4 linked regions of the Drosophila melanogaster genome follow. The protein of the gene in region 1 purifies or fractionates together with the protein of each later gene. This does not show direct contact. Each region holds a gene or a part of one and is shown on either strand. Other genes may lie near its edges. The genes, in order: Nuf2, Kmn1, Mis12 and Prp31.

Region 1 (8,312 bases):
AAGCTGATTAATTTAACTCTATTTACATATATATCCTCTAATATTTAAGAACGCAAATCCTTGTTACGAACTGTTGACTTGAAGCAACAAAACAGTTGGCAAAACCGAATGCTAAACAAATGAATACATATTTAACACTTCCTCTATATGTGATACAACACTTTTTCTAGAAAAGCTTTCATATTATCTTATAAACTAAATAGAATTAACCACTCTCCACACACTGTAAACGATCACCACTACTTAAGTGGGCTGGCAGCAGCAGGACAGGCTCTTGTTCAGGGATAATCCAGATGAATGAATGTATGTCCCGATCCCACGGATATGTGTCCCATCCAACTTGTCGCCCCATTTAGCTACAGCAATTACGGAAAATCGGAGCTTGTAACAAATTGTTAAACGATGATAATAATTGCATTGAATTTAATTTGATTTGTGCGTAGAGCATCTGTGATGAATAATAATGTTTAAAAAATGACGGAGAAGGAGCGAAGTGGAGAGCCCAAAACCACACACAATACTGATCAACAATATTACTAATCAAATATAAGGTGTTTTATTCCTCGTATATAACATTAGCAGACTAAATGTAAACACAAACGAAATCAAACAAACTATTTAATTATGTAGATTTGCAGACCGCAACAACTAAATGTTAAATGTTGAACTAGAGTTAAAATTGTGAACTCTAGAAACCGAAACTAACGATGCAACAAAGGAGTATATATTTTGGCATACAAAATTTTTACCATTAAGTCAACTAAATGGAAGAATACAAATTGTGAAATATGTTTTATTTTTACTACATTTCGGACAGCACGAAAACCAGCCCAAAAATAGACAAAACTTAAAGTTCGCTATGCAATAAATCAAAAGGCAGCAATTCAAGAACGGAAACAATATGAAAAACTATACGCATATAACATATATATTTATTAATGTTAACATATGGTACATTTTTGATCTAATTGTTTAAAATAGCCAACCAGCAGCAACAGTTAAATTAAATGTAGCTTAAAACCCAAATGCTCAATAATCCCTTTAGCTTGAAAACTAAATAGCCAGCCGTAAAAATGTTATACAAATCATTAAATGCATATAAAGCCAATTTTAAAGTCTACAACAAACCTGAGAAACTTGAGATCTTAAATGAACTTCATTTTTAAAGTGCTTCAACTTTTTCGGGATTGTAATAGCTTGCGTTTGAATTCAACTCACAATTTAGTCGGGTGAAAAGCCTAATTACTTAATTCTTTTACTAGAAAAGGAGAAATATATTAGAATTATTAACGGCTGTGTCAAGTTGCCAAATATCTGCCAACATTTGTTTGTAATATTCTTAATTAATTCTTTAGCCTTTTTTTCTAGCTATAAAGTTAGATTTGACATCACTGTCGGGTGCCAACGGTATTTTGAAAGTATTTTTTCCTGTTCACTTGGGTATATTTCGACGGTACAGCTGCGGTCACACAATTAAAAGTGACTGGCATCATTTAGCAACAAAAAACGCGAATAGCGTCAAAAACATTGTTTTATCGCCGTTGGAATTAATAAAAGCACACAAAATGTCTGCCCCAGATAAGGAAAAGGAGAAAGAGAAGGAGGAGACCAACAACAAGAGCGAAGACTTGGGTCTCCTGGAGGAGGACGACGAGTTCGAAGAGTTTCCCGCCGAAGGTTGGACGCAATAATGTGGTGGTACATCGGCAGTTTCTAATCACTTTCATTGTAGATTTCCGCGTTGGCGACGACGAGGAAGAGCTAAATGTGTGGGAGGACAACTGGGACGACGACAACGTGGAGGACGACTTCAGCCAGCAGTTGAAGGCCCATTTGGAGAGCAAGAAAATGGAAACGTAAACCGGCACCGACCCCTTTGTTCAGTCCTAACCATAAAAACGAGCTGAGCTGTTTTGCATTAATAGAATAAAATCAGTATATTAAGTGGAATTCATCTGCCAGTTTTGTCCGAGAACCTCATGGATTTGCTCATTTAATATGGCATATAGCTGATCTTGCTCCAAATTTTGCTGGTCTAGCTCGATCAAGTGATTATTCAGATCCTCCAGACGTTTCTTGCGATCCTCAACATCGACCTGCAGCTTTTTGAGTTCATTTTGCACCTTGTGATTCTCGGCATCGTTTTCCTGGTTTCTTTCCTCGTACCGATGTGCACAAAGAGCGAGTTCCTGCTTCTTGGCCTCTGCATCCTGAAGGAGCTTCTGATAATTAACTTTACAGGTGGGCAACTGCTTTTCCACTGCCTCCAGCTGCTTGAAGCTCTCTTTGTAATCATCCACCTTGCACAGCGAAAGCACAGCCGTGGCCTTCTCCAAAGCGGTGGCTATATGTTGACTGTTTTCGATCATCCGGCGATGTTCATTCGTCACCTGTTTTTTACTGGCCAGCTCCGTCTTGCAGCTCTCGACATGCGACGATGCGCTCTTAATTTTCCTACAATGTTTGACATTAAAATAAGCACAGAATCTAGGCTTGCCCGACAGCACTTACTCTCGCAGCTCTGTCACTTGACTGTCCTCCACCACTAGCTGTTCCCAGTGACCGATGCGTTTGTCCAGCTCACCCTGCTGCTGCTCAATGAGTTCCAGAGTGTTTTCATGCTCGCTACAGGACTTCTTCAAAGGTAGAAGCTTTGCTTGAGTATCCTGCAAATCTTTCTTGAGTTTGTTTATGGCCACTTCGCAATCCTTCGTCTTCTGGCTGCATTGCTCCAGCTGTTGACTTTTGGCCTTCACCTCGGCGGTCAGCGAATCCTTTAGCTTAATGGCCTCCTCTACAGGTCCCAGCACCTTCTTTTTGAACACCTTGTAGTAGGCCAGATGGTTGAAAAGGTAGCTCAGCGTGGCGAGCGTTTTTTTAACAGCTAATAGCCAAAGAATTGTTTAATAATAATTGCTTATTGTAAGACCGGCTGCCGGCTCACCTGGTTTAATTATGTCCATATAGGTGTACGTCTTGTTGGGAAAGCTGATCTGGACGATGCGCTCCACTTGGCGGCACACTCGGATAAGAAAGACGCGCGCCTCCCGCGACGAGTGACCGAGTTCGGTGCCAATCTTATAGGGCGGCTCCAGGCGAAAGCCGAAACTCCGCAGATAGTGCACCATGATCTTGGTGACAATGGGCTCGGTGGGATTGGCCAAGTCGCTTTGGCAGATATTGATGTCGGGCATCAGGCAGTTGCCCTGGTCCATTACCCTTTCAATTTCGACTGATAACGCCATTCAATCCAGAGTTTTAATTTTTAATGGCAGTTTTTGAATGGAACGCCGCTAAGGGATCAGATTGATGTGACCAAAGCTTGCTAGCCCCAAAAAACCACTAAAATACTAACTCAGAATTTATGTGGTTTTCACACCTATAGTCCTACAGCAGATTCTCGGGTTTTTTTATCCGGTTTTCTTTCCCGGCAGCTAGAAAATACTGCATTTGTTCAGCGCAAACTTAAAAAGTAACGGAAAATCTGGCTAAAGTTACTAAGTTACATTTTTTATTGGTGAGTGAAAACTCTGGCTTCCTCCAGCGCTGCAAAAGATGATGCTAAAAATCTGATATGCCCGTACGGGGTTTTCTCCAAAACTTGGCCAAAAAAGGTGGCACAGCGAAAATAAAGACTGTTTTGTACTGCTAATAAACATACCTAACTATCCCTATCACTAGTTTTTTGATTTTCCAAAAATAAAATTTTTACAAAATTTCGCATTTTTGATAAGGGGTACCCTCATCAAAATTTGCAAAAAATTGAAGCCTCTTGGATCTTTCAGGTTTCAACACATATGGATAGGGAATTAAGTTACGAACTCAACGAGATATGACATTCCAGTTTTGGACAACTATTCTTATTGCTATTGCAAAAAACTCGTTATTTTTGTAACCAAAAAGGAACGAAAAGAAATTTTGCCAAAAATCGTATATTTCCAATCGCTGATTTCTCCATAACTTGGCCAAAAAAGGTGGTACAGTGAAAATAAATACTGTTTTGTACTGCTAATAAACATACCTAACTATCCCTATCACTAGTTTTTTGATTTTCCAAAAATAAAATTTTTACAAAATTTCGCATTTTTGATAAGGGGTACCCTCATCAAAATTTGCAAAAAATTGAAGCCTCTTGGATCTTTCAGGTTTCAACACATATGGATAGGGAATTAAGTTACGAATTCAACGAGATATGACATTCCAGTTTTGGACAACTATTCTTATTGCTATTGCAAAAAAACTCGTTATTTTTGTAACCAAAAAGGAACGAAAAGAAATTTTGTCAAAAATCGTATATTTCCAATCGCTGATTTCTCCATAACTTGGCCAAAAAAGGTGGTACAGTGAAAATAAATACTGTTTTGTACTGCTAATAAACATACCTAACTATCCCTATCACTAGTTTTTTGATTTTCCAAAAATAAAATTTTTACAAAATTTCGCATTTTTGATAAGGGGTACCCTCATCAAAATTTGCAAAAAATTGAAGCCTCTTGGATCTTTCAGGTTTCAACACATATGGATAGGGAATTAAGTTACGAATTCAACGAGATATGACATTCCAGTTTTGGACAACTATTCTTATTGCTATTGCAAAAAAACTCGTTATTTTTGTAACCAAAAAGGAACGAAAAGAAATTTTGTCAAAAATCGTATATTTCCAATCGCTGATTTCTCCATAACTTGGCCAAAAAGGTGGCACAGCGAAAATAAAGACTGTTTTGTACTGCTAATAAACATACCTAACTATCCCTATCACTAGTTTTTTGATTTTCCAAAAATAAAATTTTTACAAAATTTCGCATTTTTGATAAGGGGTACCCTCATCAAAATTTGCAAAAAATTGAAGCCTCTTGGATCTTTCAGGTTTCAACACATATGGATAGGGAATTAAGTTACGAATTCAACGAGATATGACATTCCAGTTTTGGACAACTATTCTTATTGCTATTGCAAAAAAACTCGTTATTTTTGTAACGAAAAAGGAACGAAGAGAAATTTTGTCGAAAATCGTATATTTCCAATCGCTCATTTCTCCAAAACTTGGCCAAAAAAGGTGTCACAGCTAAACTAATGACTGCTAATAAATATAACTAACTATCCCTATCACTATTTTTATGATTTTCCTAAAACGAAATTTTAACACATTTTCGATAAGGGGTGTAAAACTGGGCGACACATTTGATACATGTAACAATGAACTGGGTGAAACATAAAGGCGTAAGGTTTGAAGTTATCTGACTTAAGCACTTAAATAAATAGTTAAAAACATAAATAACTGTGCTCTTTGATTTTGTTAAATTTGTTAATGGCTCTGATTGGACAGCGCCGTGACGCCACAGTTTTCGACTTGATGTCGTTGGGTAACCAAATCGCTTGTTATCATTTTGATTGATTTATGGTGTGTCCGTGCGACTCTGCTAATTAGCTGCTAATGTAAATTTGAGTCGAGCGCCTCAGTCATGAAGCGTTCGCCGATCAGTTGGTCACTTCTGTGGATGGGCTACACATGCATTTTCCTGCTGGCCGATAGCCCAGCCCCTGTGGAATCCCATCACATTTTGGGTCTCTTTGTCAATGTGCACCGGTCGCAGTTAATGGTCCATTTGGCGGTATGTCGCGCTCTTTTGCAGAGGGGTCACCACTTAACCCTAGTCACCACATTGCCGCTGGAGGAGCAGGAAATTCAGGGAAATGTGTCACACATTTACATTCCCTGGCAGCAGCCAAAAGAGGAAGTATCCTCCTCGGACCTCATTCTGCGCCTGGAACGGATGTTTAGGCGTTTGGAGCATTCTGGAGATCTGCTTGATCTGCCGGAGTGGAAGATGTTTCTCAGAAATCAACCTAATACTCCCTATGATCTCCTCCTCTTGGGCTATCATTTCAACGATCATCTGCTGGGAGTTGCTGCGCATTTCAATTGTCCAGTGGCCATAGTTTCCACCCAACAGCCAACTGGATTTGTCAACAGCCTTATGGGTAATCCCGAGGAGCGTTGGTATGTCCCACAGCCGTATGATGGCCAACAGCGAAGTGGAATCTCGGCCTGGGTCTTTGGAATGTGGGAGAAGTTCATGGAGATTTTGGCGAGGAGAGTGCTGGCAAGGATCTACCGGTATGTATCTAAACGCAGTTGTTTAGCGATCAATTGAGATTTTCTTTTTAGTTTGCACTTTCCCGAACCGCAATATCCCAGTTTTGAAACCATGCGACGGTCGGTGGTTCTGGCTTTAAGTAATCATCACATGATCAGCGAGGGTCCCATAGCTCCACTTATTCCCAGTATGGTGGATATAGGAGGTATAGTCCTAGAGCAACAGCTTGATAAGACTCCTCTGGAAATATCAGCCGGCAATCGATCTCTCATCATCTTCAGTTTGGGCACTCGTTTCACTTGGCGGAAGTCCACTAAAGAACTGGTGCGGACTTTCACAAAAGCTTTTGCTCAGTTTCCGGACTATGACATTTACTGGACCTACGATGGTCCAAATGGTAGTGCCATCAGCTTGGATTACCCTCACCTTAAAGTCGCCAAGTGGTGGCCCCAAACGCAGATGTGGCAAAGTGGCAAGGTTCGATTGTTCATCACTCATGGAGGCAAAGGCAGTGTCTCAGAAGCTCTTTTTTACGGAGTGCCCATGCTGGGACTACCCTTAATTGGCGATCAACGAGATAATCTTCAGAGAATGCAGTCGAAAAACTGGGGTTTGACCTTATCCACCAACAATCTGACGCATTGGAAACTAGCGAAGGCCATAACTAGAATGCTTAGCGATTCGAGTTATGGTGAAACTATATTGAAAGCTTCTCAATTGTATCGCGATCGTCCAGTGAGTCCCAGCGATTTGGTGACCTATTGGATCGAGTATATCGTTCGGCATAAAGGAGCTAAAAATTTGCACAATCCCGCCAGGCAACTCAATATAATCGAATATCATTCCATCGATGTTTATTTTATAGTTTATGGGCTCTTAATCCTAACGATTGCCATACTCAGAAAAGTGAATAGCTTGCTGTGACTAGAAGTATTATTTATTGGATACAAAAATATATTAAATAAGTAGCTAGGAGGTCAACTTAATCGACAATAACTTAAGTACACTCGAATGTTGCTTGTCAATACTTCTGATTGGAACATGGGAATCTATTTAATTTATTTTTAAAGAGGACCGAAAATGACAGTTACTTAAGAACTTTTCTATGAAAGCGTTACAGTGATTTTGAGTTCGACAGATTCTTATGATTTTAATAAATAAAACACTGTAGACTCTTTCAAAAAAGTCCAAAAGAACTAATACTTTCAGTTCTCAATGTCTGATTTTATCTAGTTTCACTGGCATCTTAAACTCAGCTTAATTAAGATTACATTTTAAGTGTATTTTCTGTAAAGTAATCACTTGGTCCAAATATGAATTTGAATCGGTCTTTAATATTATAATATTATTACTCATAATACTAACAACCAAACATAGTATGCCTTTAGTTTGCTCGCTTATCCGAACGAACAGTTCGGATTTCTGGATTTCTTTGTTCTATGGCCATTGCGTATATTTAAACACAGTTTTTCTTCAAATGCCATGAACTTTATAATGTAGATTTAAGTTCTGGCGTTTTCATTCTTTCAATGGGAATTTGGTTTAGCTTTTGCCATTCTGACGTTTTGACTGCAAACGCTGTTGCAGATTGGGATTCCGATTTGGAAGACCCGGGCGTGGACATCGACCGTTCCTCACATCATATGCCCCGTAGTTGCAAAACGGCGGACTGACTTCTCCACTTTGAATGCGGCTGAAAAAATAAAAATTGGGGGTTTAACAAAATTATATGGCACTTAAAGCATTACGTAATGATAATATTGACAAAAAATGGTTTAAAAGTGCTTAAACCTTGAACTCACCGTCGTTCCATCACCGAGAATCCCTCAACGCCGTTTTTCAGCCTCTTGCACGTTTCGTCGCTGAGGTGGCAGTCGCATCGGCAGCGCTGCTCCCTCCGCTCCCACAGACGCAGCTCCAGGTGCTCCTCATTCTCCCACTGCGCACGCGATCCCGCCCAACTGAAGTCCTTGAAGTGCTTGGGGCATAGGCAAATGGGACTTCGTTTCCGGCGCGTTTCCACCTTCACACATCCGCATTCCGTGTGGTTCTCCATCGAGATAACGATGGGCTCATTGGAACGGCCATCCACTTTGTCGAACACCCGATCCACCGTTTCGTTCCTTTTCATTTGGCAGGTCCAACCCGCATTGCAGCATCCGACTTTGTCGCTGCATCTGTGCAGAATTGTGGCACGGGGCGAGTAGAACGTGT
Region 2 (4,864 bases), on another chromosome or scaffold:
ACCTCGGGACGCTCGGTGCCCTTGTGTCCTTTAAGATGCATGGTCAGCAGGAATTTCTTGGCAAAGCGCGCCTCGCAGATGGCACACTGGTGGACCAGCTCTTGCTGCTGCGAGTGGAAGCGCAGCATGTGCATCACCTGGCTGTTGCGGTTAAGGAAGTTCTTGCGGCAGCTCTGGCAGCTAAAGTACTGCGGATCCTTGTGGCAGTGCAAATGGTCGACGTACAGTGTCCGCTTCTTGTACCGATTGTTGCAGCACTTCACATAGCCAGTGCAGTCGTGCTCCACGCGAAAGTGGCGCTTGAGATCGTTGAAGTCTTCCAGCGGGGCGGCGCAAATGGCGCAGTCGAGCTTAACATTGGCGGCTATATAGTCGTCCATTTCCTTGATGCTGCTGCGCTTGACGGGCACCTCCGAGGTATCATCATTATCGTCGGCGGTTACCAGTTTCTTGGTCTTGGGTCGGCCACGTTTGCCGCGCGGCTTTGGCTGTTCGTCGGCATCTGGTGTTAGCTCGCCCCCGACATCTTCTTCGTCCTCCTCGTCTTCGTCGCCATCCTGATCATCCTCTGCTCCAGCACTGCTGCGTTTAAGTTCCCTTTGCCGGGCTCTTGATTCCCGTAATGATAACTCTGTGATCTTGGCCTTGTTCTGCTGTTTGCGCTTCTCGTACTTCCTTTTGATGATTTGATGCGTTTGCTGCAGCGCAGTTTTGCGCGGCCTGCCCCTGGGGCGCGGTTTTACCGGATCCGGCTCCGGTTCTTCTTCTTCATCTGGCTGCGATTCCGGCTCGAAGTCCGGTTCAAAGGTGTCGCCATAGTCACTGTCTTTTTCATCGCCCGCGGACAAGGCGTCGATGACGGGTTCGCACAGTATGTGATCCTTGATGTCATCGCCCTCATAGCTGAGCTTTGGCTCGATTGGCGACTCCGTGTTCCACACGACCAGGGCGGGCTCCGGCTCCGTCAGTTCGGGCAGCTCCGGCAATTCAGTTTTCAGCTGCAAGGAGCGGTGCAGCGACCGCTGCTTCTCCGCTACCATGGAACAGAATTGCTCGATCTCGGCCAGCTGCCGCCAGCAGCGGTTGCACAGGCACGTGGACACCACGTCGTTTTCCGCCAACTGAAAGCGAACAATTCAATCATTAGAAAAAAACATCTTTTTGGGGTAGAAAAGTCCAAATCCACTCACCACCAGCAGCAGATGTCGCTCGATCAGCTCGGCCAGCTGGCGATGTGCCGGTTGTCCCATTGGCGGTTCCTGGCCGAAAATGGGCACCCCGTGCTCAGCATCCTCCAGGCAGAGTCGGCATATCATCTCATAAAAGGAAGGACACAAATCCCGAGTCGAATCGCGTTAAATGCAGCTGTTTTTGATTCGTTGCTGAGTTTTGTTATGTGAGCGTTACCGGACCGCGAAAAGAGACCTCCGCGACTGATTGTGCAAACACAAGAAAATAGGCTAGAAAAAATAGCTAAGAAGATAACCAACACATTGGTTCAATATTTTGTGACTAAAATTAATCAATTTAAATGCTTTTTTTGTATAAACTTTATTGCGGTAAGGTTAGTTTATTTCTGAGATGTATGCTTTTTGAAAGCTCTGAACTTTGACAACTTCCGCCTGACATATTGAGGATATCAATTGATGTCACATAAACTGCGACGAAAGATTCATTTCTTGCTGGTTGCTTGATGATGGCTGACGCATTGGCTTCGGCGGCGGTATTGGTCTCTCCTTGGGCTTGGAAATAGGCTCCTTAATAACCAATAAATCAGATTCGGATCCGTGCAGCAGATCCATATTTAAATCGATATTTTCTCCCAAAACCTCGTTGATGGTATCAGATAAGTTACCCATCTGTTTCCGCTTCTCTTCCAACTGCCTTTTGGCTATGGCATCGTTGACCAGATCCTCGATGCTGGGCGTTATTTGGAGGGCAGGACGATGACCGCTGGGCAGGAGATAGCGATCTGCCAAAACCATCAAATGGCTAAGAACGGAGCAAACTTGTTGCCACACCAATTCGCCCCATTCCAAGGTGATACGTCCCAGGACCTGGTCGAAGGATTCGTTACAGCTAAAGGATCGCAGGAACTCCTCGTAGATCACCTCACTGCCGCCGCCCACAGAGGGCAACATCCAGAACAGGAGAAGCACCTTGAACTCACTTAGCAATGGAATAAATGCCAGCAGACCCGCTGTGAAATAATCAAAGGCCACATAAACTCCATAGGCAATCCAGTAGATTAACCATCCGCGAAGATCATTGACGCTACAATTCTGACTTTTCAGGATCTTGTAGGACGCGAATGCTGGATAGAAACAGCCCACCAGAAGGGACAGTATGTGTATCACGATCGCATAAATCATTATTTGGAAATTTTGGATAATCTTAAAATTTTGGATTTTGAGAAAGTATATATATAGCTGTGTATTCGGTTCTCGATTTTGTTCATTTGGTTTGACTACTTGAACAAATACAATAAATTGAAATGTGATTCTAAACGCAAGGCCTGCTTAGCATTCATAAAATGACTTATGCCCTATAACCCTTTTCCCCTTTTTTAGTTCAGCTTTTTTTCAATGAGTATATATCTTTTTATTAATATTAAAAGTGCAATTTTTTATATCGTATATTTTAATTTGTATAAAAGGTTTTGGCTTGAAAAGAGCCAGAGCGAATTACGTTCAAAAGATGTGGCATCACTGGATCAGCGATGGGTGTTGGCAAGCGTTTACGGATTTAAAAACTGAAAACAAACGAAGCGACGCGATGGAGCCAGCCGAAAGTCCAGAAAAATTAATGAAATTCGTACGCCGCAGTGACGTACTGGAATACGTGGGCAACACGAGTGCCGTCGATCTATCGAGCGGTGATCTCTCCGACATCGATCTCAAGGACGTGCCGGCCCAACTGGAGGCCACTTTGAAACCGCGTCGCTATGAAGCAAGCACTTTGTTTAACATTGACCTGGACGATAGTAAGTGCAATCCTTGTGGTTAATTAAATTGCCATTTACTTAACGTACAGACTTTCAGTCTGGGATCCTAGCTGTCAGGAGGACGAGGTGCAGCAGTACAAGGAGCGCGCCCAGAAGGAGCAGCAAAAGTTCTTCGACTTTGTAATGCATGCGGCACTGGACACGGACAATCGCAAGGTTAGCTTCAAGCCAAACAAGGAGCAGCAGCGTTACCTAGATCAGGGACCCAATTTGCAAAACTTCGTGCGAAGCTCGTTGGCTTTCACAAACGCGGCCATCCGATTTCAGGCGGAGCACGAGGACATGATGGAGCTGCAGTGCAATATGGACGATCACTACCTATTCATGCGGAACACCATGATCAACAACGCTATACACCAGAATATGGCCAACCAACGGTGACCCTAAGCTATGCATAAATATACATATGTGAATTGTAGATATTGATAAATTAAATTAAGACTCAGAGATTGTAAGACGGTTTGCTTTTGGCTTATACAGTATAATTCGCTTAGCTGCCTCGAGTACTTTGCACAATGCCTCGATGCAGGTAACTTAAAAATGCAGCTAACTTAATTTTTTTTTTTCTATTTTCTATTTTCTATTCACACAAAAAAATGGAAAAATAATGCAGATATCTTGCCGATGCAGCTAACTATCGATGCAGCTAAGCGAATTATACTGTATTTATTTCTACCCTAATATGTAACTCCCTAAGTTGCACTTCTGATGATGGCTGCCTTTAAGTCTGACCGAAAGAAATGAAAACCGATCAAACGTCTTGAAAACATTGTCTGTATGTAAACTGAAGTTAACAAAGGTTTCGTTTTATGTTCTGGTCTACTCAGGCGTTAGGTCTACTTTAAATTGTGTGTATATTTGTGAGCTGCTTATTCCTTGTTCCAGGCTGCCAGGTATTTCATGAGGTCCGTGAGACTCTCGAAATCGGTGCGGCTGGCTGGTGGTTCGTCCTTGGTGATTCTTGGCAGTGCATTGCCCATCTTGAGGCGGAACTCCTGGAACTGCGAACGAAACGAAAGATTTAAAGCGAAATTCATTGAACAAATCGGAGGCATGCTCACATCCTTGGCTCCGGATAGCTTCCAGAAGCCGTAGCAGAAGGCGCCGGTGCCCATCACGGCGTACAGTGTGCCCCAGCCCAGCGCCCGCAGGGCCAGGGTGGCGCCCTCGTCCATCAGGATCATGCCTTGCCGCGTTCCAGCCTGCTGGAGGACCTTGCTATCCGTCTTCTTGGCGGTGGCCAGCGTGCGCGAGAAGCCGAACAGAGCGGACACCCCGCCCACCAAACCCAGAAAGGCGGCGGCTAGAAAGGAGGATGAAATGGAGTTGTACTTCAGTCAGTTGCTGGCTGATATATATGCGTGTGTCTGTATGTGTTTGGAGAACCACCTACCCTGGATGCGGAACTTGCGCTCCTTCTCGGCGGCCACTGCATCCGCGCTGGTGCCGGCCTCGCTCATCCTTCTCAATTGCGATTTATTGTTGTCGTAACTACTAATGCCCGAATTGGATCGCACAACACAGCTGATTGCTTGACCGCTCTTGACAACCAACACTGGTGCCGCAGCTGCCACTGCCACTGACGCGTTCGCAGAGGTGCTAAGATGGCGGGAGGGAAGCTAGAAGTGAAGTGCTAAAAGATAGTTCAAAATATTCAACAGGTACTGGCCTTTCTCACTGACTATGAGAGTCAATTTGATTTTAATGTGCTGCATTTAATTTATTTGTTAAATTACTAACTAATACTAATAGATATATTTATATAAAAGATATAGCTAAAAAACGTCAGTCTGGCAACCCTGCTACAACGACCGCAATATGGTATGGTATTTCGCCGCTCGCCCTGCAGTCACACTTTTC
Region 3 (7,827 bases), on another chromosome or scaffold:
TTCGCGGGCTAATGGCGGTGACCAAGGGGAGCACCACATCCAGAAATCCCCAGAGGTGTCTCCTTGGGCGCAAGCCATTTTCCGGACGTTTATTCTTTGCCAAGAGCTTGACAGCGTTATTTAAGGTGAACCTAAGGCCTGGAGTTGTAAGCCCTAAAATGTAACTAGTAAACTTACTAATATGTTTAGTAATAGCCTAAATAAAAGACAATTTATACAAAATAACCATTCGTACTTGAATGCTGCCAATGCTGCTTATTATTTCATGTGCGCTTACAGAGCTGACAACTTAGTAAAATAAATATTAGGATCCTTAAATTATGTTGATCATTGCTCAGTTAGTTTAGTGTATATTCCAATTTAGAGCTATAGCTTGTGCCTATTTTCATAAATATATTAGAAACAGTAATTTTGTTTTAGGTTTAGCTTTTTTGAACTTAGCGTTCTTTCCCAAAAAAAATGGGATTTTCTTCGGAAAGAGTTGCAACTCTGGCTGATGATTGTCAAGTTGGCCTTGCCGCATTCTGCTTTTTGTCAGGCATTTTGGATTAATTCGTTTGTTGAAATTGTCAATTGCTTCAGTGAAGAATTTTTAATCTGCTTAAACTTGGAAAATGATTCGCGCCATGGTAATGACCAAATGGAGTAAGTCGGTGGCGGGACCACTGGTCACAGCGTGGAGTAAGTGAAGCAGGCACGTGTTTTTTTCTTAGCAAACTTTAACGCCTTTTCCCACCATAAAGACTACTCCACATTGAATCGCCTCAATGGCAATACTGTGCGCCCGCGTGCTCTGTTCCTGAATCTCGACCGCAAGTTCTCCGCCGAAGGTGGCGGCGATGAGAAGCCCAAGAACGTGCCGCCTGGATTTGCGGCTCCAGGGTTTCCATCCACCTTGGGCAATAACCCAGAGAACACCACGCGTAAGGATGTGCCCATTGGCGAGGTGCAGGCGCCAACTATTTCCGTAGTGAACGCAGGCGGTAAACTGGGCAGAGCTGAGCCACTGGAGGCCAGCACCATCGTGCGCAGCAAGGGCACTTCGAACGAGGACAAGATGACCGAGGCGCAGAAGAAGGCATCGGAGGCCAAGGAGGCGGCCGCCAAGCAGTTGCAGGATGTCATGGCCAACTTGCCTAGCAAGGAGCAGACCGAAAAGTATTTCTTTCGCGTGGTTGCCTTCTTCTATGACTTGACCTACCTAACCGCCACCTGGTTGCTCAACTTTGTCGAGCACAATATCGTTCAAAATGCCAAGGTGCAGCACTACTGGAAGCGATTCCACGAAAAAATGGAGCAGGCCAAGAAGGATTAACTCCCAGCGGAGCCGAAAAATATATTATAAAACTCATGCGAAAGCAAAAAATAAAACAACTCGCTGACGAGTACAAAATTACACTTGACTTGGCCACTTTTCCATCAGATTAACGCCGAGGTGTAGCCATCCAGTAGTTTGGCCAAGAATTTGAGTATCTTGTTGCGAGCGGCCACCAGTTGTGGCGGATCGGTTTTCACCGGCTCATACATATTGGCGCAGTGAGCGGTTCCTAAAAAAAAAAACACAATAAATGCTTACATTACCCAAGTTATATGTGAAAAATGTGTTGGTAAGCACATACCTTCTATGTAAATGGTAGGAAGTGCTGCGTTCGTGGACTTGACCAAGCCCAAAGCATGCCAGGGATCAATGGAACCGTGCACGTACAACACATTTGTGGTCTTTGGCTTTAGGGCGCCATAGTTATCATTTGTGGCGGACACCACCAGTTTGAGGAACTTGGCGTTCATATTCTTGGAGAACACATCCATGCACTGGCGTATAAAGAAGTCGACACCGAAGCGATCACCAAATGTGTCAGCCGGGTTATCCGAGGTCTGATAGAAGCCGAATTCGTGGCAGGTCTGATATGTCCACTGGCGCATTCCCTTGGCCGTCTCCGAGTCCCAGGAAACGTTCTTCATGTCCGCCACCATCTTGTCGTACTTGTAGTCCAGGCAGGTGGTGTTCGATTCCTTCAATAGCATATCGTTGACCAGGCCCAAACGGGTCACAGGTGGACCAGCCGTGGTGTTTAGCATGACATCGCAGATCTATGGAGTTCAAACATTCTTAGTATGGACTTGATAGGGATCAAAGTGAGGATGAAACACACGTCGTCAATGGTGATGGTGGCATGGGGACTGTTGTCCTTGTTGTATTGCACCACTCCAGCAAAGTTGCCAGCCAGATTCTCAAAGAAATTGGCCATGTCCAGGTCGTTTTCAATGGAGTCCTTGATGGGAGTGCATGTTCTGAGTATAAAATGGTTTACAAAATTAAAATTTGTGCAGGACGATAGCCTAATCCACTCACTTGAACTTCTCGTCCAGGCTGCGTTGTCCAATCATGTGCTTGAGTAGAATCTCCACTTGCGCAAAGCTGCGGGTCACGGCGTCCACGCATTCGGGCTTGTAGGCAGCTAGAGAGGCTTTGACCACCTCGAAATACTCCTTGAAGTCAACCTCAGCCAGCAGAGGACCACTGGAGCTAATTGAACCGTAGATGAGCTCGGGATACTTCTCGCGTGCCCAGGCGGCCAGCGATCCCGGATAGGAGCCACCGAAAGCGATCCATTTCTGGCCATCGCCCAGATTGAACTTAACCTTCATGGCGGTTACAAAGCTGGCCAAGTCCTCCAGAGCCTGCTCCGAGCTGAGATAGTGCAGATTTTCGGTGGACAGATCAGCGGTGGGATGGCTCTTGCCATAGAAACGATGCTCCAACTGCAGACACAGCGCTCCAAAGTGCTCGGCATAGTGCACCCAGGCTCCTTCGCGCATCCACTTGGCCGACGCCTCGCCCTCGCCACCGATCATCAGGAATACGGGTGCGGAGCTGTCATTCCGATAGAAGTCGGCATTCACAAAGTATCGCTGCTGCCAGGTGCGCTTATCGCTCGACTTGAAGTGATCCAATCGCTGCTCGAACCACAGATCCTCCGAGTGCAGGCTCCTTTGCAGGGTTGGAATCTTGCTGGGCTCCCCGAGGAATCCCTTGGTCAGCCTTCCGCGTCGAAATCCCATTCCGGAAATGGGCGCAAGCAGTCCCAGGAGCAGAAGACCCACTCCCAAGGGCCTCAAAACGCCCCCAATGAAAAGCATATTTGCTTCCTTTGTTTGTTCGGGTCAAGTAGAATTTGCCAGTAATTGAAGTATTTAATTAGTTGGAACCTCGCACAGTGCCTAACTGTAAATAGCGACTGAAGGAGAGTGGTGTGTTCTATTTATATAGGCACCGTTATGTGTGTCGCACTCTCCTGATTATTCAGTTCTCGCTGTATTATCTATATTCGCAAAGCCGGCAAAGCAAAACTAAAACAGTAGGGGCATTCATAGTTATTGATTTCAATCATTAATTGAATTAATTTAATTTTAAGCAGAGAAAGATTTCTGTATGCTGTAAGTGTTCTGGTAACTTTACAAAACTTAATTTAGCTTTTTATTTATTTATATTATTTCCTAGCTAGATATTATCGATGAGCTTAATAGCACCGTAAATGTGAACGTGTTTTGCAAAATTTTTGTCAAGTAATTAAGAAAAGTATACATTCTTGCATGCTTTGATAATTTCCATCTGCGTGTAATTTTAAATTCTCACTGAACTAATTTAATGGAAGTTTCCTGAATTTCAAATGCTTTAGGTAGCTTTAATAAACAACATATAGTTTATTTGAATTATTCCATATATTAGGTAAATATTATTGTGGAGTTTCACTGTGCCGTTAATGCGAAAGCTTAATAAATGTATTTGTCAAAAATTTTAGGAAATTGTGCATGTGTATGCGTTGTTTTTATATTTTTCATCTGTATAGTCAGTTATAAGTAGCCAAATTTAGTAACTAGATTTTGTAGCTAAGTATGGCAGCACTGTTGCTGTGGTAGCATCTCTTTGTATTCTGAAAACGGTAACACTAATTGCGCGACAATTTGGATTGTTTACGTTTTTATCCAGTTTAATTGTAATATAATTTAAAAAAAATATTGTTGTTAACTGTCATAATGGACTTCAATAGCCTAGCCTACGATCAGAAGTTCTTCAATTTCACAGCGGCACAGTTGTCTGCAGAGCGTGAGTGCTACATCCTTATATCTCTGGATCAGCGTCCTTTATCCATTAATTCCTTTTAAATAGGCGAACATATTGTGCAGGACATAATTAAGAAGGGTATTGGTCAGATCATCGACAAGATCAAGACACCCGCCACAGCGGAATTGCTGGAAGCCGAGAAGGAGACCGTTGAGCGTCGTTTCCAGGCATCCGCCTCCAAGGGCCTAAAAGCCCTCAGGGAACTGGACAGCAAAGTGTTCCACGTTCCACCGCATGTGCTGCATCCGGAGCACATGTTCGTCGAGAATCAGTATACCAGCGAAGAGGAGGAGCAGAAGACAGCCAGGTTGGAGGAGCTGAAGGCCAAATACAGAGAGGTAACTTGTAGAACCAATGGAAACTATCTTGTATGCCTCATTTTAATCATTATAATGGGGAAAAGGATGCTTTATTTTATGTTTTAATAATGCTAAATCACATCAATTTCAGAACATGGCCATGCTGGCGCATTTGAAGATCGAGGAGGAGAAGTACGCCGCCATGGAGGATCTCATCCAGAAGGAGATCGAAATGCAGGATCGCGTGCAGCGAAGCTGCTCCTCCCTCAACATCACCAAGCTGAAGCAATTCTGGAATCAAGTGCCCCTGCAGATAAAGAAGGAGACTGATTAAATAAACTAACTGGATCAAGTTTTTTAATCTACATTTCCAATATCTTCTTTCGAAACTAGTTTTAACCCTGGAGTCATTTATAATCACTAAGACTCTTCTATATTCCACTTTACCTATTATTATGTCGTTAACTTAGTTTTAAACTTAAAATTAAATTAAATTAAAATTATTATGAATCCGAAACACCTAGATGATTACTTACTAGTTTTAAACCAATTTACCTTAGCATTATATTAGTTCCTTTGACAACAGCGGCAACCAAGCAACGGTCGCTGTTTAAATTTTCCAACTGCCTTGTTTTCAAACAGAAAACAAGCCGGTTAAAAAGTTTCAAGCACAGAACAGACACAAAAACCCCCTTATATGTTACATTTCGAATCGTATATTTTGCTATAAGCCTGGAAAAATGGGAGACTCGCACGATGTCTGCAGGCAGCTGCTGCCGCGCGCAATCTTCGGCATCAATGGCAAGGTGGAGAATGGAGTGCGCCAGCATCCGGTCACGGGATCCATCATCTTTGCGCTGGGCAACAAAATCGGCATCGCCGACTACAAGAAGAATACGCAGGAGTTTGTGGCCGGACACACGAACACCATATCGTGCCTGGATCTCAGCAAGAGTGGCAAATACATGGCCTCCGGTCAGATCAATCACATGGGCTTCCGCGGCTATGTGATCATCTGGAATTACGATCAGCGCAAGGAGATCGCTCGCCACGATCTGCACAAGGTATCTGTGCAGGCCATCTGCTTTACTGCCCAGGATAGATGCGTTGTGTCCATCGGTGGCGTGGATGATGGTTCCGTAATTGTCTTCGACATGGAGGCATTGTAAGTTGTTCATATCAGAGCTCATGCTTGAACTCCTTCAATGACTTCGTTTGCCATTACAGCTCTCCCATTTGCCAAACACCCGCATCGAGGGCCATCTCTGGAAATGCCTTGACTGTCCGGCCGTTGCACAACAATCCCTACTTCTTTGTGACCGCCGGCGATCGCCATCTGCGTCTGTGGAGCATCCTGCGTGAGGAGAAGAAGCTGTACGTACAGGATGTCCTAATGGCCAGCAAGACACGGGTTTTCTACTGTGCGCGCATCAATAAGACGGATGAGTTTGCCTATCTGGGCACCGGAACTGGGGACATTGTAAAGATCGTGCTCAACTGCTGCGATCGTGATCATGTGAGCAAACAAGGCTCAACCAGCTGCATCCTCGGAGCCTTCGGCACCCACAATCCCAGGAAGCCAACGGGCAGGGACTGCAATCGTTATGTGAATGGTGTGCGTGCACTGTATGTCCTGGAAGGCGGACGTCTGCTGATTGGAGCGGGAAATGGTGATATAGAGCTGGTGGAGGAGCGTACCGATGTGCCGCTCATTAACTTTCGCGATTATCCCGGACCCACATGGCCATATTTGCGCACCCTGAAAAAGACGCACGTTTCGGGCAGAATCTCGTCCTTTGTGCGCTCGAAAACGGACATGTTTTACATCTGCACGGACACCAACGAGATCTATGGGCTGAATATCAAGACTTGGGTGCTCAAGCTGCTGCGAACGTGCCACACCAAATCGGTCTACTGCATCACGTTTCCCAAGTGAGTTTGGATGGAACTAACCCTTCTACTTGCAATCTATTTGCTACAATTGATCATATATATGTATTTAAGGAACTACTCTGGTGTCTTTGCCACGTCGGGCAAGGAGTGCATCCGCATCTGGTCGTCTGGTCGCAAGCAGGAGCTGCTCCGCATCATGGTTTACAACTTCAACTGCGCCTGCGTGCGCTTTACCCACGATGGCACTAGCATAGTCTCCGTTTGGAACGATGGCATCATTCGCGCCTTCACTCCCATCACCGGTAGACTCATCTACGCCATACCCAACGCGCACAACAAAGGTGAACTTTGGGAATACCAATCCTTCTAAGCCTTCTTACTGAAATCCTCTCGTTCAACACAGGTTGCAGTGCATTGGCCGTGGCCTCGTCGGGTCGCTTGATCGTCACTGGCGGCATCGAGGGACAGGTGAGGGTGTGGAAGATCGATCCGTATCGCCAGGATCTCGTCGGCGTGCTGAAGGATCACTCGGGGCCCATAACCTCGCTGGATATCAACTATCTCGACACCGAAGTGATCTCCGCCTGCACCGATGGCTCTTGTGTAATCTGGGACATTAAGTGAGTTAATCTCAGTGGCAAAGTATAGCATGTATTCCTCATTCACCAAGTAATCCCCACCAGACGCATGACCCGCAAACAAGTGGTGACCGCTAATACGCAGTTCATGTCCGCATCCTACTTCCCAACTGGAGTGCAAGTGATCACCTGCGGCTCGGACGGCAGAATCATCTACTGGATGGTGTACAATGGAGCGTTGATCAGGGAACTAACTGCGTCCAAGAAATCGTCGGTCAACTGCTTGGCCATCAACGAAACGGGTGACTACTTCATCACCGTGGGCAGCGATCTGCAGGTGAAGCTGTGGGACTACAACAGTGGTGCTGTGGTGGGCATCGGATCGGAGCACGCCTCCTCCGTGATCAGTTGTGCGTACAGTCCCTGCATGACCATGTTTGTCACCGGCAGCACGGACGGATCGCTGATCATATGGGATGTGCCGCGTGACTTCTGGGGCAGGCCCAATCCGCCGGATGTCACCAAGTATTCGCTACCAAAGACATCGTCCAAAACCAGGATGAGTGACGTGCCGTCGCGGGTGAACTCGGGCACCAATCTAAAGACGACCAAGGGCGAGAACATCGATGGCCTGCTGAAGGCCACTCCCAAGGACGATCTCTGCTGCGTGGAGTGCCCGCCGTGCGCCAAAAAGGATACCAAGGGCGTGGATCCCTATGCCGAGTGCGGAATCGTTCCCGATGTCCGCAAGTGCTGAGATTTTCCTTTCCAATTTCTTTTTGTCGTGAAATAAAGGCAGTTGTCCTTTCTAAGCTTGATTTAACTGAGATTATTTATGGGAGCTTGATTTTCTAGGATAGATTGGCCTTCTCTTTTATAAATCGTATTGTAAGTCATAAGGAGATATGGCTTTGAATAATAGTCTTATTAG
Region 4 (8,918 bases), on another chromosome or scaffold:
GAACTTGGTGGCCTTGATCCGCTTGCAGCGCTCAGTCATCATATCTGGAGTTTCCGTTTGCTCAACGCGAGCCACCTAAAGAAAAACTTGTATTAGTTTTACTGGGAAAAGGAGCTATCCTTGGACAAATTACCTTGAAGCCCCTGTCTACGAGAATGGTGGACATCTTGTCGAAGGATATCTCCGGGAAACCGGAGTGAGCAAACTCGCCGCGCATGTAAGTGAAGCCCAGCTCGTTGACGCCCACATCCGCATCCATGTGATACAGTTCATAGAACTTGCCGACTTTAAAAAACAAGACGCAGTCATAGTTGTCCGACTTAAGGACCCACCACTGTCGAACTCCCGGCGACAGGCCATTGAGGAACTTCTCCGGCACATGCAAGGTGCTCTTATCGTAGTCCGGATGATCTGGACGTCTTCCCTCCTTGTCCTTGATCTTGTCCGGTTGCAGGAACTCTAGTTTCTGGTGCGGCCAAACAACGGGCTCATCCAGATTGGACGTGTTGGTCACGATATCATCGTAGGAAGCATCCTGCTTGGCATTGCTCTGCAGGTTCTTCAGCTTTTCTTGAAAGGTTGCACCCTCGGCCAACTGGATGGTCGACTCTAGCTTGACCTTCTTGCTCGATGGCTCATTGTTATTGTTGTTATTCAGAATCTTAGACTTTTTGCGCGATTTCTTGGGTGTCGGACTGTCCACGGACATGTCGTTCTCGCTAGGCGACACCTCCTCCGCGCCGCTGCTAACGCTATCATCGCTGGCTTCATTCTCATCCGGTTCGTAGTCGGAGGCGCAATCGGAGAAGTCGTCCTCCGACTTGGTTACCTCCATTTCCGGCTCACTGTCCGATTCCGGCTGAACGATGCGCTTCCGCTTGCGTTGACCACTGGCCGGCTCATCGTCGGAAATGGGCAACTTCCTCTTGGCCGCCGGCTTGGAAGCCTCTTTCTTACCATCCTTCACTTTTGGCTGCTGGTTCTGGAGATTCTCCTTTTCGCTCTTGGATGCATCGGGATCTGTTTTCACGCTAGGAGTCAATTTCTTTTTGTCGAAAGCTGGCGACTTGGAAAAGTAATTTAGTAGCGTGTTTGTGGGCGTCCCGCCCACGCTGGTGTTTAACTTCTTGGACATGACAATGGCCTAGAAACGTCTGCCAGGTTACTCAAAAAACCAGGATGCAGACGCTGCGATTGTGCGCCAAAACCAAAAAATATTCTGTCAAATTGTGGCTTAATAATACCGAAATAGTAGCTTGACTATTTAGTATATTTAGGGAACTCGTGCCCGTTGGAATTTTCGAATACCACTGAGGAGATTTTATTTTTTCGTTACAATTTGATGCTTCTTATATAATAAGTCATTTTTTTTCATTTTTGATCTGTGTTTATCTAGGCTTTGTTGTCCCAAAATAAATAAAGAGTGATAGTTAAGAATTAAGCAAAACAATTGATAGCCATACCTATATTTTCATCAACCTTATATTTTCAACCATATTTTCAATTCCTTTACTTTTAGATACAGAATTCTAATTAAGCAGGAAAATCGAAACTTTCCAGAATAATAACAAGAGTTATGATATTGGATCGTTCTGTTCATGAAATGTTTATTGAATTTGGTCAAATTGATCAATTAAAATCCAGTGGAATAGCCTTATGGTATTCTTTAAATGAATACCCTATATATTTCATGCTAATACTTAGTATTTTTTCAATGAACCGCATGGTATTCTAAGGCGGCTGAGCAACGGTCACTTCAATTCCAAAACAAACTTAATTTCACGAGATCGCAAAATAAACTTTTGAAATAAGCCAAAATGTCGCTAGCCGATGAGCTTTTAGCCGATCTCGAGGAAGACAATGACAATGAGCTGGAGGAGGAGGATTCGGAGATGGCCAGTGCAGAGGACGAGAGCGTAAGGAACCAAAGCAAATGTTGATCAGACCTAATGATTCCCCTCCCACAAAACAGTTGCTGGCGGAGAAGCTGGCTAAGCCGGCTCCCAATCTGATGGACGTGGATGTAACCGTGCAGTCGGTGCGGGAACTGTGCAAGCTGCGCGACTCTGAGCGCCTGAAGAACACGCTGCAGCAGATCGAGCACTATGCCAGTCGCCAGAGAACTGCAGCCGAAATGCTGGGATCCGTAGAATCCGATCCAGAGTACTGCCTCATCGTGGACGCTAATGCCATAGCTGTGGACATTGACAACGAGATCTCCATTGTGCACAAGTTCACCAAGGAGAAGTATCAGAAGCGATTCCCCGAATTGGACTCCCTGATCGTGGGTGAAATCGAGTACTTGCTGGCGGTCAAGGAGCTGGGCAACGACCTGGACCAGGTCAAAAATAACGAGAAGCTGCAGGCTATTCTCACGCAGGCCACCATTATGATTGTGTCAGTCACGGCGTCCACCACACAGGGGTAAGTTATTTGAACGGTGTAACCCAAAATAACATGTCACTGAATCCCATTCCCTTTCGCAGAACCATGCTGACACCGGCGGAGAAGGCAAAGATCGACGAGGCCTGCGAAATGGCCATCGAACTGAATAACTTCAAGTCCAAGATCTACGAGTATGTGGAAAGTCGCATGACCTTCATAGCCCCAAATCTTTCCATGATTGTTGGAGCATCGACGGCGGCTAAACTCTTGGGCATTGCTGGTGGCCTTTCCAAATTATCCAAAATGCCGGCCTGCAATGTTCAGGTGTTGGGTGCACAAAAGAAAACCCTCTCGGGCTTCTCACAAACGCAGATGTTGCCGCACACTGGCTATGTGTACTACTCACAGATTGTGCAGGATACTGCGCCAGATCTGCGACGCAAGGCAGCTCGCTTGGTGGCCGCCAAGTCCGTGCTGGCTGCTCGTGTTGATGCCTGTCATGAGAGTGTCCACGGGGAGATTGGACTGCGCTTCAAGGAGGATGTGGAAAAGAAGCTGGACAAGCTGCAGGAGCCGCCGCCGGTGAAGTTCATAAAGCCGCTGCCCAAACCCATCGAGGGAAGCAAGAAGAAGCGAGGAGGCAAACGCGTGCGCAAGATGAAGGAACGATATGCGCTGACAGAGTTCCGCAAGCAAGCGAACCGCATGAATTTCGGAGACGTAAGTTTCTGGCTTAAAAATATAATGGTTATGTATTAATCTTTGAACTTTTCTTTCAGATCGAAGAGGATGCCTACCAAGGAGATCTGGGCTATTCACGCGGCACCATCGGCAAAACTGGCACCGGCCGCATCCGATTGCCCCAGGTGGATGAGAAGACCAAGGTGCGCATTAGCAAAACGTTGCACAAGAATCTGCAGAAACAGCAGGTGTACGGCGGCAACACCACGGTCAAACGCCAAATCTCCGGAACGGCATCCAGTGTGGCCTTTACGCCACTGCAAGGTCTAGAGATTGTGAATCCGCAGGCGGCGGAGCGTTCGCAGACGGAGGCCAATGCCAAATACTTTTCAAACACATCCGGATTCATGTCAGTGGGACAGCGGACCACTTAAGAGAACAGCTCTATCCTTATTTTCTATAAAATTAAGCACTTTTATTTGGAGATTTGTCGAATGTATATTGAGTTAGGCGTAGTAAAGCTGCATAAGAGATTCGAATTGTTGTTAGCTGAGCTTGCCGACTTCCAGTTTCCGTTGAATGGCCTCCCACGAGTTGTTCAGCAGCACGGCGAGAATGCCGGCCACCGTGAACACGCCTCCGATGATGGAACAGCAATTCGTGGCGAAGTGGCCAAATGAGCTGGGAATACACAACACAACCAATAAAACTTGTAAAATTAACCATTAGCTTTGTGGCTTACTGACCTGTGTCTCTCCGCATATTTCACCATCAGTGGCGAGAGCTCGTAGCTGAAGAATATCCCCGGCATTCCGCGCTCGCGATCTGAAAGATCTTTTCGGTATCGCGTGACGGAGAATTGATTCGTGTATATGGGCTCGCCGTCGCTGTTTCCTCGCATATATAATGTGGGAACAATTTTTAAATAGTAATTGAACATTTCACTTTTGGTTTCTGCAAAAAGAGGAGAGCAGATTTTCTAGTTTACTTCATTTGTCGTTGATAAATGTATTTAATTTGGTAAGGTAATTACGAATTAAACTTCATGCTTCTAAAAACAGGTATTTCACAATTCGAACAAATGAGTATATTTTTTCCAATTTAAAAAATGAAAATGCCCCACACAACAGACCTCCGAAGTTTCCCAGAAATTCTTCGAGGAGTAAAATATAAATTAAAATGGATGCCTGTGCTTAAATAACTTAGTTTTTTTTTATTTCAGTCTTAAGTATGCTTTTTAATAATATTAATAAATAAAGAATATAAATTGATTTTAAAGCACCCGCTTTTTAGCTACCGCCCCCTATCGGCTTTCTCTAGAACGAGGCAAGCCGAGCGAAAAACAAAGTGGCAACCCTTCTATAATTTGACAGCTCACGCACACCATCACTCAGCTGCTCACACTCACACGTTTACGAATTATTCGACTAGTCGGTGCCGAAATAAATAGAAATATTTTGAATATTCCTAAAATAAACGAACCTTCTGCGAGATTCATAAGTGCGTCGGAGCAGCGGAGCTTGCTACTCAGCGGTATCAACTCATATAGAGCCGGTGAACCAGGAAAACCACGGACTTAGCGGCATGCCTCTGCCTACGAGCTCATTTTCCCAGCAGGGACCAACGTGCTTCGATAAGATGAAGACGGGCTTCATCATCGGATTCTGCGTGGGCATGGCCAGCGGTGCGGTCTTTGGCGGGTTCTCGGCGCTCAGGTTAGTTGGACTTTGCACTCGGATGCTCCACTTAGCGCTCCTCCAAAGAAGTGACGCAAGTGGAGGCCGGCAATTATGTAATTACTCCGGCTAACTAACGAACCACATTGAAATACACTTTAGATACGGACTACGCGGGCGGGAGCTGATCAACAACGTGGGCAAGACCATGGTCCAGGGCGGCGGAACCTTTGGCACCTTTATGGCCATCGGCACGGGGATTCGCTGCTGATCCTGCTGGCATTTGACTAGAGTTACTAAACAACCACAACCTTAAGCCCTACTCCAATCTTGTTTAAATTACGCTAAGTTATTGCAATAGAGATGTTACAGAATTACGAGTCCGTGTTTGTGTTCACTACTCACCAGCCACGTCGACTCGTAGTCCATCCAAGGGATGCGTCTTGGCGAACTCTATCTTCTCGCCGAACGATAGGTGATTGATTGTGTGCGATAGCTTCACATTGCTGAACTGAAAGTCATGGATGTGGAACTGGCGGATGGAGAAGCTCTTGCCGGGCGCAAAGTGAAAGCTGCCGGCCATTCGATTCACTTCCAGGTGACCCTGGATGCGACAGCCCTCCTTGAAGGCGTCCTCGTCGCTGCGTTTGTACTTGCCCTTACATTGCTCGATCTTGTCCACGGCCACGGTCCATTTGCGCAGCCGGTAGGCGTCGAGAACATCCTCGCACGTGTTGCAGCAGCTAGATAGGATGGTAGTTGGTATTAAAAGGGGGAGATTAGAAAGCCATTGCTATAATTAGCTCTAGATACAGATATCTCCTTAGATAAATCTTGTCAGCGAAAATAGGTGGAACTAATGGTTGAACTTAGAAGCTGTTCACTATCTTACTGAGTAGCATTGTGCTCCGCTCCGTAACAACTGCCGCAAGTGACATTCTTATTGGGCGGCGAAACTGCAACGATTTCCTTGATGGGCGTCTCCTTGAGGGGCTCGCCATTGAGATCCAGCCGGTGCTTAAAGACGTCGTGGTCCACCCTCAAGTGTGTGTCGCCAGATGAATCCATTGCGTCCAATGAGATGTAGTTGCACGCCAGATTATGCAGTGTCACGTCCAGATTTATTCTCAACTTGTGATCACGAGTGGTGTCCACGAAGAGCTCTTCATTTAGGGTTGGCTGCATGTAGTTGAGGACCTCGAGGAAGATCAGTAGGCTTATGATGCTGGTACTGATAATTGTAACTGAAAATCAGAGAAAAGCCGGTTGTTTGGGTTCCTTAACGCCACAATCAATTGTACACCTGCACCCACCTGCGGCGCCGCCCACTGTGCGAACGCTGAAGTCATCCAGTGTGCGGGGATAGGCGTCCAGGCGACGCAGCACGTCGGCGAACTTCATCGTGAACACGTAAAAGGAACAAAACAGACGAAATGCAGACGTAAACAATAAATATTACATCGTTTTTGCACAAGACAGGTGACGTGTTGAAATTGGCGTTGCCAGTACGCCGCAATGGTACGGCCAAACAGATGTTCGCTGTGGTTCGGTTCGATTGACTGTTATCGTATCCGTATCTACATGCCAGCTCTTACTTTACATGTCGCATTTTACATGTTAAAAATCGGGCGAGATGCAGTAATTGTAGATAAGTATGCAGTTTTAAAAATAAATGGGCCACATCAAGAAATCTTAAAACTATTTTATCCGTTTATAAGAGGTAAATGCCATTGACACAATATAAAACGCTTATTTAAGTGCTTATCTTATTAACATAGAAACTTATGATTAGATCTTACATTGCATTACAATAGCAACATGCATGCCAATTATTACATTTCAAAAAAATACAATTTAAAATTATAAAGGTTATAAAAATGTTTTTATTTTAAGCAAAGTTTTGCTGAAACTGCATGATTATTTAATGTTAAAATTTAGCTCTTATAGTTCCCAAAATTTGATTCGTCTGGTGGTATTGATTTTGATACACACTTTACATTTACTGTTTATTAACGAATACAAAATACCCTCACTGACTATAAGCAATGATTTAAAAAAATCCAATGTCAAGCCTTACATTTATATAAGCTTTAACTTTTACTTAGGCGATTTTTTGATTTCATCCTTCATTAGCCGGAGCTTTACCCCATTGATTGCGCATACGCCGCGTTGGCCCGGCGACAATTAGGACCTCCGCTTGGCCGTCCTTTCCCATGGCCACGAATAATGTTTAATAGTGTTGTCATGTCTTGGGGTTGTGGTTGTGCATACATTAGGCCGCCATTGCCCACCATCGGCAATAACACCACCCCCCCACTCAGACGCCTTAACCCACTGCTGCTGCTGTGGTCCAGGAGACCGCGTCTAATTTTATAATACATGTTAAACAGATGAAAGGTTAATTGAAAGGAACCACAAGTTTCGACAGCCCGCGCAGCTAATGCTTAGCTTTTAGGGGTTGCAACCCCCACACCCCACAAACCCCTTTCAAAGAAGCGGACTAATAGAAGACCGTGGTTTATCCCCGGGGATTTTGGTTAAAGTTAAAAGTTTTCGCCTAAATATAAATCACCAAATGGCTTTTCGCCCGACTGATTGAAGGTCCATGAACCCAGCATCCATGTAGGGTCACAAATAATTGTATGTAGGTGTAGAACATACCGCGACTTTGTGTAATTACCAATTAAGCTCAAGTTCCCGATGCTTTCTCATTTTCCTGGCCACTCTACAGTTTCCTTTGTCATTTCTTTCGCCGACTTCACTTTTTTTTTGCAATTACCTGGACAAGAAATCTGTAAAATCAGGCAAGGCAGCAGATGACAAAGATTAGCCAGCGGTAATTTTACACTTTTTTTACTTTCTAAATTAAAGTAAATGGATTGGAAAGGGTATGGAATAGAGCATCACGCTTTGGATCTGGGAAAGTTCATAAAAAAGTGGAAGTGTCAGTTTTAACAATGTGTAACTGTATGTATAAATATGTAAATATGTAAATATGTGAATATGTAATATGTAATATGTATGTATAAATAATAAACAATGATACCATGGATTTTTAATATATAACAGCTTGACTTTGACCTTACACATTTTCAAATAAAGTTTTTTTTATTTAGGCCTTAAGCAAAATTTAAAAGTGACATATACTTCGAGATATAAACTCAATTTTTGAATCTATCCTTTCTAAAAAATTGCCACAAAGTTCTTAGTCCTTTTATGGGTCACTTTTAAATTGGATTTGAAAATGTCTCAAAAATATTTATCCCTTGGCTTCGCCGACTGACAAGTTCATAGCCCTTTTTCCTAGTATATCCTCTTATATTTGCGCAACTTATGGCCACAGGGCATTCGGGTTTTCTGCCATGGCCATTTCCCTCGACCACGCCCACTCTTATCTCCCGCTAATTTGCATTTCTAACCATTTCGCTCTAGCCAATTCGCGTCATTTCTTATTTGAAACAATGAGCCCAACATCAGCCAGAACAAATAGCGGAGAAGGAGTCATTGTGCTACGGCTTTGCCGGCAATAAAAGACTCCGGAGACAAAAGAACCGGGCTAAAAAAAAAGAGCGAGAAGAGAGCGTGTCAAGAAACTTGGAACCCGGAGCCGGAGAATGGGTAAAGAAAGCCAGAAGAGAAGTTGGCGTAAAGCAGCTTAAACAATCAGGACTGCCTAATGGATATTGACACTTTAATGCCCTGGCCACCAACCCAGGCTCTGATTCCGATTTCGAATACGCACTGCGAAAAAACCATCTTCATTATTTAAATTTAAATGCAAGGCACATAGATACACAATTAGGTACATATTAATCTACTGACACGCTAACTCAAATTCACTTTTTCCTTCCCATAGTCAAGGAAGTGCTATTATTCATAATAATATTCAAGAGGAACTTGCTTTTTGTACTTACTTACGTATCTATAGTATAAATAGATAGCACTATCACATTTTGAAGTAAATTAAAAAACTAAATGAAATAAACAATTATAAGACGCTTTAAGATTTATTGTAAACTATATTTTGAAATGCAAGTGAAAATTTAATTAGCTCATACTAAATCAAACTAAAAGGGCGCAATTTTCCCTCCGTGTAGATTTCAAATTGATATTGGATTGGGGGAATCCCCGCGCGGGAGGCTGTATCCATCCGTGCAGATGTCCTGCTCTAATTCG

Evidence for each region.
Region 2: the proteins of Nuf2 (region 1) and Kmn1 purify together in Drosophila melanogaster (affinity purification with mass spectrometry, with the first as the bait; 2 studies listed by BioGRID). This does not show direct contact.
Region 3: the proteins of Nuf2 (region 1) and Mis12 purify together in Drosophila melanogaster (affinity purification with mass spectrometry; 2 studies listed by BioGRID). This does not show direct contact.
Region 4: the proteins of Nuf2 (region 1) and Prp31 purify together in Drosophila melanogaster (affinity purification with western blotting, with the first as the bait; one study listed by BioGRID). This does not show direct contact.

Annotation. Positions count from the first base shown.
Region 1 is NT_033779.5:7,062,521-7,070,832, forward strand, and holds Nuf2 (Nuf2), read right to left. Parts: upstream 3,318-8,312; 5' UTR 3,246-3,317; coding exon 2,945-3,245; intron 2,885-2,944; coding exon 2,512-2,884; intron 2,455-2,511; coding exon 1,941-2,454; 3' UTR 1,911-1,940; downstream 1-1,910. Other genes in the region: Sem1 (suppressor of exocyst mutations 1), read left to right, coding at 1,566-1,677, 1,733-1,860; Ugt307A1 (UDP-glycosyltransferase family 307 member A1), read left to right, coding at 5,463-6,118, 6,170-7,022; Pvf2 (PDGF- and VEGF-related factor 2), read right to left, coding at 7,641-7,791, 7,901-8,312.
Region 2 is NC_004354.4:11,570,310-11,575,173, reverse strand, and holds Kmn1 (kinetochore Mis12-Ndc80 network component 1), read left to right. Parts: upstream 1-2,731; 5' UTR 2,732-2,775; coding exon 2,776-2,983; intron 2,984-3,041; coding exon 3,042-3,385; 3' UTR 3,386-3,791; downstream 3,792-4,864. Other genes in the region: CG11696 (uncharacterized protein), read right to left, coding at 1-1,121, 1,191-1,316; Reepl1 (receptor accessory protein like 1), read right to left, coding at 1,650-2,372; CG11699 (uncharacterized protein), read right to left, coding at 3,874-4,005, 4,066-4,307, 4,398-4,464.
Region 3 is NT_037436.4:6,965,146-6,972,972, reverse strand, and holds Mis12 (Mis12), read left to right. Parts: upstream 1-3,924; 5' UTR 3,925-4,038; coding exon 4,039-4,108; intron 4,109-4,171; coding exon 4,172-4,464; intron 4,465-4,576; coding exon 4,577-4,759; 3' UTR 4,760-4,938; downstream 4,939-7,827. Other genes in the region: CG10063 (uncharacterized protein), read left to right, coding at 615-681, 744-1,315; CG9953 (uncharacterized protein), read right to left, coding at 1,420-1,547, 1,620-2,091, 2,154-2,292, 2,354-3,141; CG10064 (uncharacterized protein), read left to right, coding at 5,166-5,590, 5,653-6,357, 6,430-6,659, 6,722-6,938, 7,002-7,653.
Region 4 is NT_037436.4:15,157,353-15,166,270, forward strand, and holds Prp31 (Pre-mRNA processing factor 31), read left to right. Parts: upstream 1-1,747; 5' UTR 1,748-1,817; coding exon 1,818-1,916; intron 1,917-1,972; coding exon 1,973-2,424; intron 2,425-2,486; coding exon 2,487-3,105; intron 3,106-3,164; coding exon 3,165-3,500; 3' UTR 3,501-3,611; coding exon of another isoform or gene 3,612-3,747; 3' UTR 3,748-3,786; downstream 3,787-8,918. Other genes in the region: Msh6, read right to left, coding at 1-75, 134-1,135; CG7011 (uncharacterized protein), read right to left, coding at 3,612-3,747, 3,813-4,020, 5,148-5,485, 5,635-5,986, 6,056-6,143; CG6878 (uncharacterized protein), read left to right, coding at 4,651-4,781, 4,905-5,013.